Caenorhabditis elegans: one gene and its partner. The protein of the gene in region 1 interacts with the protein of each later gene in a pairwise test. Each region holds a gene or a part of one and is shown on either strand. Other genes may lie near its edges.

Region 1 (4,419 bases):
TTCTCACCTGATGTCATTCCCTGAAAATGTTCAATATAGACTAGTTACTTTCAAATGCAATACCTTCTTGATAATATCTCTAACTTCAACACTATTACAGAACAAATCTCCACTTGAAGCTTTCATGTCAACTGATCTCTTTGACTTGGCTCTGTATGGTCCTGGTCCGTAGGATCCAGCATAAGATGGTCCAGCGTATGATGGTCCACCCGCATATGATGGTGGTGGTGGTGGAGGTGGAGCTTCATATCCGCCTCCGCATGGTGGAGGTGGTGGAGGTGGTGGACAGCAGCATTGTTGAGGTCTTTGTGGACCTAATCCTAAACCGAGTCCTTCTAGAAGGAATGCAGATGAAGAAGCAGTCAGTGAAAGAACAATTAGAACTGATGAATGAACCATTTCGAGTGGAATGTATGAAATTCTCGTTTTCGATGGTCACTTTTGTAGTCATTACAGCAGAGCGTTAGAGATTGATACGCAGAGAAATTGCAGCTTCATTATTACACATTTTGAGAAAATTCGGCGAGAAGTGACCGCCAGTGCTGTAACAAACCGATGAGTAATTGGCCGAAAAGCCACTTGACCCCGGGTTCGGCACACAGAATTCAAGGTTAAAGTGGGTGGAGCCTACTTGTTTTTATGCTTGTTGACTGGTTTAAGTTCGTCGCGTCATTGCGCAGGAGACCCCCTAGAACCTTCAGACTACTCCATCACTTATTTAGTACATGATTTATAGTAATTCCATTTAACAAAATTTAATAGCACATAGGTTTCATCAGAAAGTTTTTGGTCCTTCTAGTTACAACAACAGAGATGAGGACGGTGAGTCTTACAGCAGTGTGGTTTCAATAATTAAATACGAGATCGATACAAAAGAGGGCGCGAAAAGTTGTGATAAAAATTTTTAGTGAAATTTTAAATTTCAAAATGGACAAATTGAATAATATGGGAGGTGGTGTATGGTCGCTCAACGAATGTTCACCAATTTACAATCAATGTACGGGTGTGACCAGATTGACGTGGAAACGACTGGAGGAGTTAAAAAATGGAAAGGAGCCGAAAAGAAAAGCAATGAAGGAAGAAACATAAGAATCAAGAAAGACTGAATGGTACAAAATGTTTATTTCGGATCGAAGTGCTCATTCCATTTCTGATGCGTCCACTTTTGCATTCTGGCCCATCCGATTGATTTTCTCGAGTACGTCGTCGGTCATCAAGTTGGAAACTTGTGCAAGCTTGCTTGATTGATACTTATTCTGCAAATAATTATGTTTATTGGAATACTTCGATGATTCAATACCTTAATAGCGACAAGCTTCCCCTGTTTGAAGTTCTTATACGAGACTTCGGCGAGCAAAGCGACAGCATCCTCAATGACTTTCTTAGAGGCTCCGAGCTGTTTGCTAAAAATGTTGATATTAAAATAAAAATATAAGCTTTAAAATGTACCAAATGACCGATACAGCATTCTCCGCCTCGATTCCGTCAACAGGATGAACTTCAAGAGCGATGATCATCGAAGCAGAAGCAATGTGGGACCTTGGGGTCGAGGCCATAACCGAATCGAGCAGTGCGAGCTCTCCGAGACACTTGGAGATATTGTAAGTATAACAGAAAGCTTGATTATCGATTGGGCTGGCATCGTTTTCGGAGAGAATTCTTGAGAGACAGCGGAGGAAGACAAGCGAAGATGGGCAGGACAAGTCAAAGTTCAACGAGTTAAGGATTGTTTGCTCCATTGCCAAGATCTGCTTCTTGCTGTATGTGTTCTCAGTGATGAACTCGTAGTCGTGGATGTCTGGGAGGTAAACCTCTTCGAACTTGGAGGCAACGAACCTGAAACAAAACATTTTTAAAGGATACACAATTAGTAATCCCTATATGTTACGTTTTAAAATTGAATAAAAACTCTCACATAGCTGAAATTCCAAGAAGCTGAAGATCCGCCTTGGAGGTGACCTTCTTCTGAAGCATGCGATCCAGAATGAAGACAGTCAAGTGAAGTGTCTCAGGTGTGAGATGGAATCGAACATGAACTTGGACAAGCCAATCGACGAGAATGCGACGCATCTTGGGAGTGGGCTCTCCTCCCTCCATGAAGCACTCCTCAAGAAGATACTTTTTCTCGTGATGAACGAGATACTTGTATATGTCGTCGGCCATAGCAAGACATTTAGTCTCAGCATCCTGGAGGTTGATTCTCTGTGACTTTTGCGCAGTTTCGACTGGAGCTGGATTGGATGGCTTGAGTGCAAGAATCTCTCGAGCTTCTCTTTTCGTCTGAAGACCTTGCGCATTGACGGGCTTCAATGGTCCGTTTCCGTGCTTAGCCATCTGAATGATAATTATAGTTTTTAGTTTGTAAACACCTTGTACCTGGAGGCTATCCTTTTCCACATTATTCGATGTTCGTCTGTTGTTGGTGGCTCTTAGCATATTGAGGCCTTTCGCTGCAATAAACGATTGTTTGCAAGTTCCAAGAGATAATAAAATAAAAAGTGAGAAAGAACCTTTGATTGCTAGTAGAAAATTGGTAAGTTGAGAAATACTGGACGTTTTACAAAATCTGACAGAAAGGTTATGATTTTATCTAAATAGAACACAACGTGTAAATAGTTTCTACACGGCGAACATGTTAAGGTCACGTGAGGAGCCTATTAAGAATTGTTTGCACTAAATACAAGAATATCGACAAATGGGATTCGAATGTTCCGCGTGCAGCGATTGTCCAACGGAGCGCAACTCCCCCACACCAAGATGGTGCTTGGTGGTAGGAGGGGGGAATCGCGAAGGGTAATATCGATTAAATATGTCACCTAGGATGAATGAAGAACAGACGTTAAAAGATGAATTACAAATGAACCTAGAATATTAATAAAGCTCCAAAGTTAGGTATTTGATAACGATAAGCCAAAGAAAAAAAGATTGTTTTTGTTCAAGAATCGAATAATGAATAAAATGAACCGGTCTATGTGGCAAAGATTCAAATAGGGAAACCTGCGTTGGAAAATAATCGTTCCATTGAAGGTTTTTGCAAAAAATAAATTCTTGGCGCCGAAAAATTGAGGGAGATCCGATCAAAACTTTAATAATCGCAAAGTTTCAAGAGCAAATGATTTTATTTTCAAGGTTCGCGCTGCAATACGACACTCCGTTATTTCGCATCGCGCTTAGTTTAGCCAAGTAAACCTGCTCCATTGAATACCCGCCAACTTGAAAACAGTTTTTACTGGAAGAAAGTTTTTTTTGTTTTTATTTCAAGGCTGAAAAATCAGTCATTTTATCCATATCATAGTTTTTTATTTTTAGCAAAATGGAAAATTGTGAGATAAGACGTCTAAAAATGCTCTTATTTAACAACTCGCGAATTATTTCTCATGTCCACATTTTCGGAGAAGATGGAAGCGGAAGAAGTGAAATTGTTCGTCAACTTCTGAGAAAACCTGAAAACGATTGGGTTCGTGTTTTACAACTTCAATTTCAAAACAATTAAAAATTTCAAACAATTTCAAAATTCACAATCTATTTTTATAGGTTTGTGTGCTTGGAGACTTCCTCTATGCGGATGGATCGCTGAAATTGTTATTCGATTCACTGGCATCGAGTTTAGGTTTCAAGACTAGAGGTGACAGAGCTGAGAATTTTTGCGATAACCTGTATAAATATGTCCAATGGTAAGTGTATTTTCTTGTTAATTAAATTTTAAATATTTTCAGGCCAGACGAAACTAATAGAAAAATTGTCATTTTTCTTGATAATGCACAAGCGATAACAGACTATCCTCCTGTTCCATTACAATGCTTATTCGATTCTTACAAAGCTATACAAGAAATAACGATTCGATTTGTGACGAGTGCACCATCCTGCTTGAACCAATATCACATTAATCTGAGCCATCTTCCAGTTGTAGAGTTTCACATACCTGCACCATCAGTAGAAACTACCAAAGTTCTTATTTCTCGTGCAAATCCAAAAATCAACGCGCAATTTCTTCACGTTGCTTGCCAGTCACTGTTCATGGCCTGCAAGTCACCGAATATTCTTCTATCAATTGTAAGTTTTTTAAAAACAATGTTAAATCCATCACTACAATTCCAGATATCTGATGCGTGGCTAATGTATGATGAGCGGAGAACCGGCGATAAATTCGACTCTACACTGGCAAAAGAATGCCTCAATAGATCATCTGGAGAAAAGCTCGGGAATGTTGTCGGAGAGAATCTGGCCAAGGAGAACGAGAACAGTTTTGATGCCATGCCGCTCGCCATGAGGTATCTAAAAATACTCAACAGAAAATATGTAGTTCTTCCAGAAATTCCAGTAAATTTTTATTTCAGATATCTTCTCATAGCCGCATACTGTGCCAGCAATAATCCTCATCAATCAGACTGCCGATTTTTCGTAAAGGTTGCACATAAT
Region 2 (4,161 bases), 2.8 Mb from region 1:
AATGTAGGGAAAATAAATGAGCCACAAATAAAAAAAAATTATTTTTAAAATAGGTTTATATTGACGATTTCAAATGCTAATCACAAAAAAAAATTCGAAAAATAATCAAAAATCAAGAATTTCGCCAAAAAATTGTAAAATTATTTGAAAAAGCGCGCCGCGGGTTTGCAAAACGACGCTCGTTTTTTTTTTAAATTAGACAGTACTTTTTTTTACAAAAATATTATAGATTTTACAACTAAAAAAATTCCAGCTTGACATTGATTATGTGGTTGGACCATTGTCATTTTGGATGCAACAATTCTCTACAAAATCTCCCGTTTCTGGCACTGGACCACAATTACCATAAATAAAATATAATAAAATACTTGTAATTTCAATATATATTCACTCTTGTCTGTATCTTTTTTTTTTTGCTCCTAAACCCACATGTTTCCTATCTATTTACTTCATTTTAGTCATGAAACCTTGTTAAACAATTTGCTATATTTTAAGGTTTTCATGTAGATTTGTAGGTTTCCCACACCCAACAAGAAATCTGATTTTTATTTTTTGGAAAAAAAAATGTACAATTAAATTGAATAAAGAAAGTTGAAGAAGTCGGCGTACACGATGCTCTCCTCTTTTGTGAGCTCTGTCAGGATTGTGAAATGATCTTCATTTTCGTATTCCTGAAACAAAAATGGTCTCGACGCGACAAATTTTTGCTGATTGCGAAAATACGTGCGCCTTTAAAAAAAGACTACTGTAATTTTCTCGAAATTTCATAGATTTTTGTTGTTTCCTCGTGTTTTATCATCCAGACGTGAGATTTTATGGGGTTTGCGTCAAAAATACCATACATGGTCTCGACACGACGAATATGAAAAGGTGTGCGCCTTTAAAGAGTACTGTACTTTTGAAATTTGGTTTTTGCGGAATTTTAAATAATCTATTTTCTTAAGAATGTGTTTTTATCGTAATATATGAGTTTTCCAAATAAAATAAATATATTTTTAAATCTACAGTAATCTTTAAAGGCGCATATATCTGTTCTCATTTAGCAAAAATCTATCGTGTCGAGACCAGGTAACGTGGTTTTGGCGTGAAACTCGTTAAAAAAATATTTTAAAAATCGTGCCAAGACCCTAAAACGGGGTTTTTTTTTCGGTCCAAAATAGCTCAAACCTTGTACTGAGCATTTGCAACTTGACTAGAAAAATCCTGATTTTGTTGGTACAACTTTGGGGATTCCCGTCTGCAACATGCGATTAACACCGGGAACCGGACATGCTTCATAAGCTCATAATCACAACTACAAGTTTCTGCTTCTTCTGAAGTCAACCCAAGATCGTGACCATAAGTCGTGGAAGTCAGTTCTTGAATTTTGTAGATGCCCGCGCTGAGGTAGGCACCACTGATTCGGGGGTCATGGATCCGTGTTACAGCTGGAAATATTTTTTTCTTTGATTTAACAAAAAAAAAGCGCTATTTTTTTGCACAGAGTGAGAATACAAGAACTTTTCATAAATTTTATTCCTGGTATGCAAAATTTATCAATCGTGGCGAGACCCATCGGCGCAGCGTCGACATGCGCCTTTAAATTCTACAGTACTTTATTTCGTTTTTGCGCGGGAAATTTTGGATTTTTTATTTTAACGCGGGATTTTTTGCATTTTGGTTCCTGATTTCTTCATTTTTGTTCATTTTTTGTCTTCGAGGACGCGTCCCAAAATTTTGCTCTCTTATTTTCATTAATTCTATCGTATTTTCCACTTATTCCGTCCATTCAAACGTCGATGTCTTCCAAAAAAATAAATTTTCAGGTAGTCTCCGTACCAATATGAGTCAAAACACCGGTTCCTCTAACCTCGGTCGCTACTACGAGAGCCCGCCAACGGCGACGGAGGCTCGTGGCACATTCGGTGGTTGCTTCAACGCCAACAGCTCCACCAACATTTGGACGCCGAATCGGAAAGTGGACTCTTCGATGGGATTTCGGAGCTCCTCACCGACACCACAGAGCGCTTGGGCTCCGAATCGTCAAGGATTTGGAGGACAATTCTCCAAATGGCGCACTTCTACACCGATGACGACTCCGGCTCGTTATCCTCAACAGGCCGTTAGACTTATCGATTTGGAGAACAACGCCTCGTTCTCGAAGTCTTTGAAGTGAGTTTAGAGTTTTCCAGTGACTTGGAGCCTCAATTTTTAAAACTTTCAAAAAAATAATCAAATTTTCAGCTCGACCACCCGCAGCCACAAATGCACACTTCCAATCTGGGCTGGCGACGGCGAGGGAAATGTCTCGGACTCGGTCACTCTTCAGGATGTGCTCGCCAACGATGCTCTCGTGGAATTTGCCACCGATAAGAATGGATGCCGATTCCTTCAGGAGCATTATCCAACGGAGAACGACAACGACGTCCACCAAAAACTCTTCCGTAAACTGGTCGAGGATCGTGCCATCTTCTTGTCGCTCTGCTCTAACATGTTTGGCAACTTCTTTGTGCAACGTGTCTTGGAGTGCTCGAACACTGAGGAGCAGGAGATTCTTACGGAGCACTTGGCTACTGATTTGTACAATCTCTGCCTTGACAAGAGTGCGTGCCGCGTCATTCAACTGGCTATTCAGAAGCTTGATGTTCATCTTGCGACTCGTTTGTCGTTGGAGCTCCGTGACACGCACCTCGTCCGTCTCAGCATCGATCAAAACGGAAACCACGTGATTCAGAAGATTGTCAAGACGCTTCCAGTCTCTTCGTGGACTTTCCTCGTGGATTTCTTCGCCGACGACGACAATCTCATCCACGTTTGCCAGGACAAATATGGGTGCCGTGTCATTCAATCGACCGTCGAAACTTTGTCGACTGATCAATATGCTCAGTGCTACCAGCATCGTGTCATTCTTCTTCGCAGTTTGATGGCTGGAGTCACTCGTAACTGCACCCAGCTGGCTTCCAACGAGTTTGCGAACTACGTGGTACAACACGTTATCAAGTGTGGAGATGCGTTGGCTGTCTACAGAGATATCATCATTGAGCAGTGCCTTCTGTATGTTTTATATAGTCAAATTTTCAAATGTATTTTTCCATTTCCAGGCAAAATTTGCTCTCAATGTCACAGGAGAAGTACGCTAGCCACGTGGTCGAAGTGGCGTTTGAATGTGCTCCATATCGCCTCGTTGCCGAGATGATGAACGAGATCTTCGAAGGATATATTCCACATCCGGATACAAATCGTGATGCTCTCGACATTCTGCTCTTCCATCAATATGGAAACTACGTTGTTCAGCAGATGATCCAGACTTGTGTTCTCGGTCAGAATGCTCGAGATCAAAAGCAATCGGAGATGTACGGCATGTGGCTCGAGAAGATTCACGGACGAGTGATGCGAAACGCCCACCGCCTCGAAAGATTTTCGTCGGGCAAGAAGATTATCGAAGCGCTCCAATCAATGTCCTTGTACTAGATACACATAGGCAATTTTTATTCATTTCCATTTGAATCCTAACCCCCACCATCACCCAACTCACGTGTATACTATTATTATTTTTATTATTATATTGCTAGAAAATTGTAGAAAGAGTATTGCAACCTCTTCTATATTATATGAAGACCCCGGCCCCCGTTTTGCACAATAATTGATATAAATTCTGTGAATAAAGAATTTACAAACTTCCAGATTTAATTGCAATATTTTGTTTAATTATTACCTTGAAATGCGAGGTGTGCTCCGACTGAGTGTCCTCCAATCACAATTTTCTTCGCATTCTTGAACTTTTTCAGAGCAAACTGGAATTTATATTTTAGAACATTTTCTGAAATATTTAAATTTCCCGCCAACCTGAACTCCTTCCAAAGCTTCAACGATCGTCTTGCTCAATACATGATCCTTGTTGGCATAGTCGTATCCCACGCTGACTACAGTGTAGCCAAGCTTTTGTGCCACGTGGACGACAGCCAAACATTTCTTTCGGTTTCCAATCTGGAGATTTTCTGTTTTTGTGTGCTCTCCACATGTTACGAGAACACAAAATTCGGAGAATGCGTATTATGTAACATATTTGACGCGCAAAATATCTCGTATCGAAAACTACAGTAATTCTTTACATGGCTACTGTAGAGGTTGTGTCGATTTACGGGCTCGATTTTCTAAATGAATTTATTTTCTCCATTTTTT

What was found.
Region 2: the proteins of cyb-1 (region 1) and puf-3 interact in a two-hybrid assay, tested with the Caenorhabditis elegans proteins (3 studies listed by BioGRID).

The regions. Positions count from the first base shown.
Region 1 is NC_003282.8:10,733,473-10,737,891, reverse strand, and holds cyb-1 (G2/mitotic-specific cyclin-B1), read right to left. Parts: upstream 2,451-4,419; 5' UTR 2,437-2,450; coding exon 2,377-2,436; intron 2,335-2,376; coding exon 1,916-2,334; intron 1,837-1,915; coding exon 1,450-1,836; intron 1,404-1,449; coding exon 1,301-1,403; intron 1,257-1,300; coding exon 1,140-1,256; 3' UTR 719-1,139; downstream 1-718. Other genes in the region: grl-21 (Ground-like domain-containing protein), read right to left, coding at 1-20, 64-399; orc-5 (Origin recognition complex subunit 5 C-terminal domain-containing protein), read left to right, coding at 3,314-3,457, 3,535-3,674, 3,717-4,053, 4,099-4,271, 4,338-4,407. UniProt on the Caenorhabditis elegans protein: Essential for the control of the cell cycle at the G2/M (mitosis) transition.
Region 2 is NC_003282.8:13,509,807-13,513,967, reverse strand, and holds puf-3 (PUM-HD domain-containing protein), read left to right. Parts: upstream 1-1,805; 5' UTR 1,806-1,822; coding exon 1,823-2,151; intron 2,152-2,223; coding exon 2,224-3,033; intron 3,034-3,080; coding exon 3,081-3,450; 3' UTR 3,451-3,661; downstream 3,662-4,161. Other genes in the region: m7GpppN-mRNA hydrolase dcap-2, read left to right, coding at 254-349; afmd-2 (Alpha/beta hydrolase fold-3 domain-containing protein), read right to left, coding at 573-671, 1,168-1,427, 3,695-3,773, 3,826-3,966.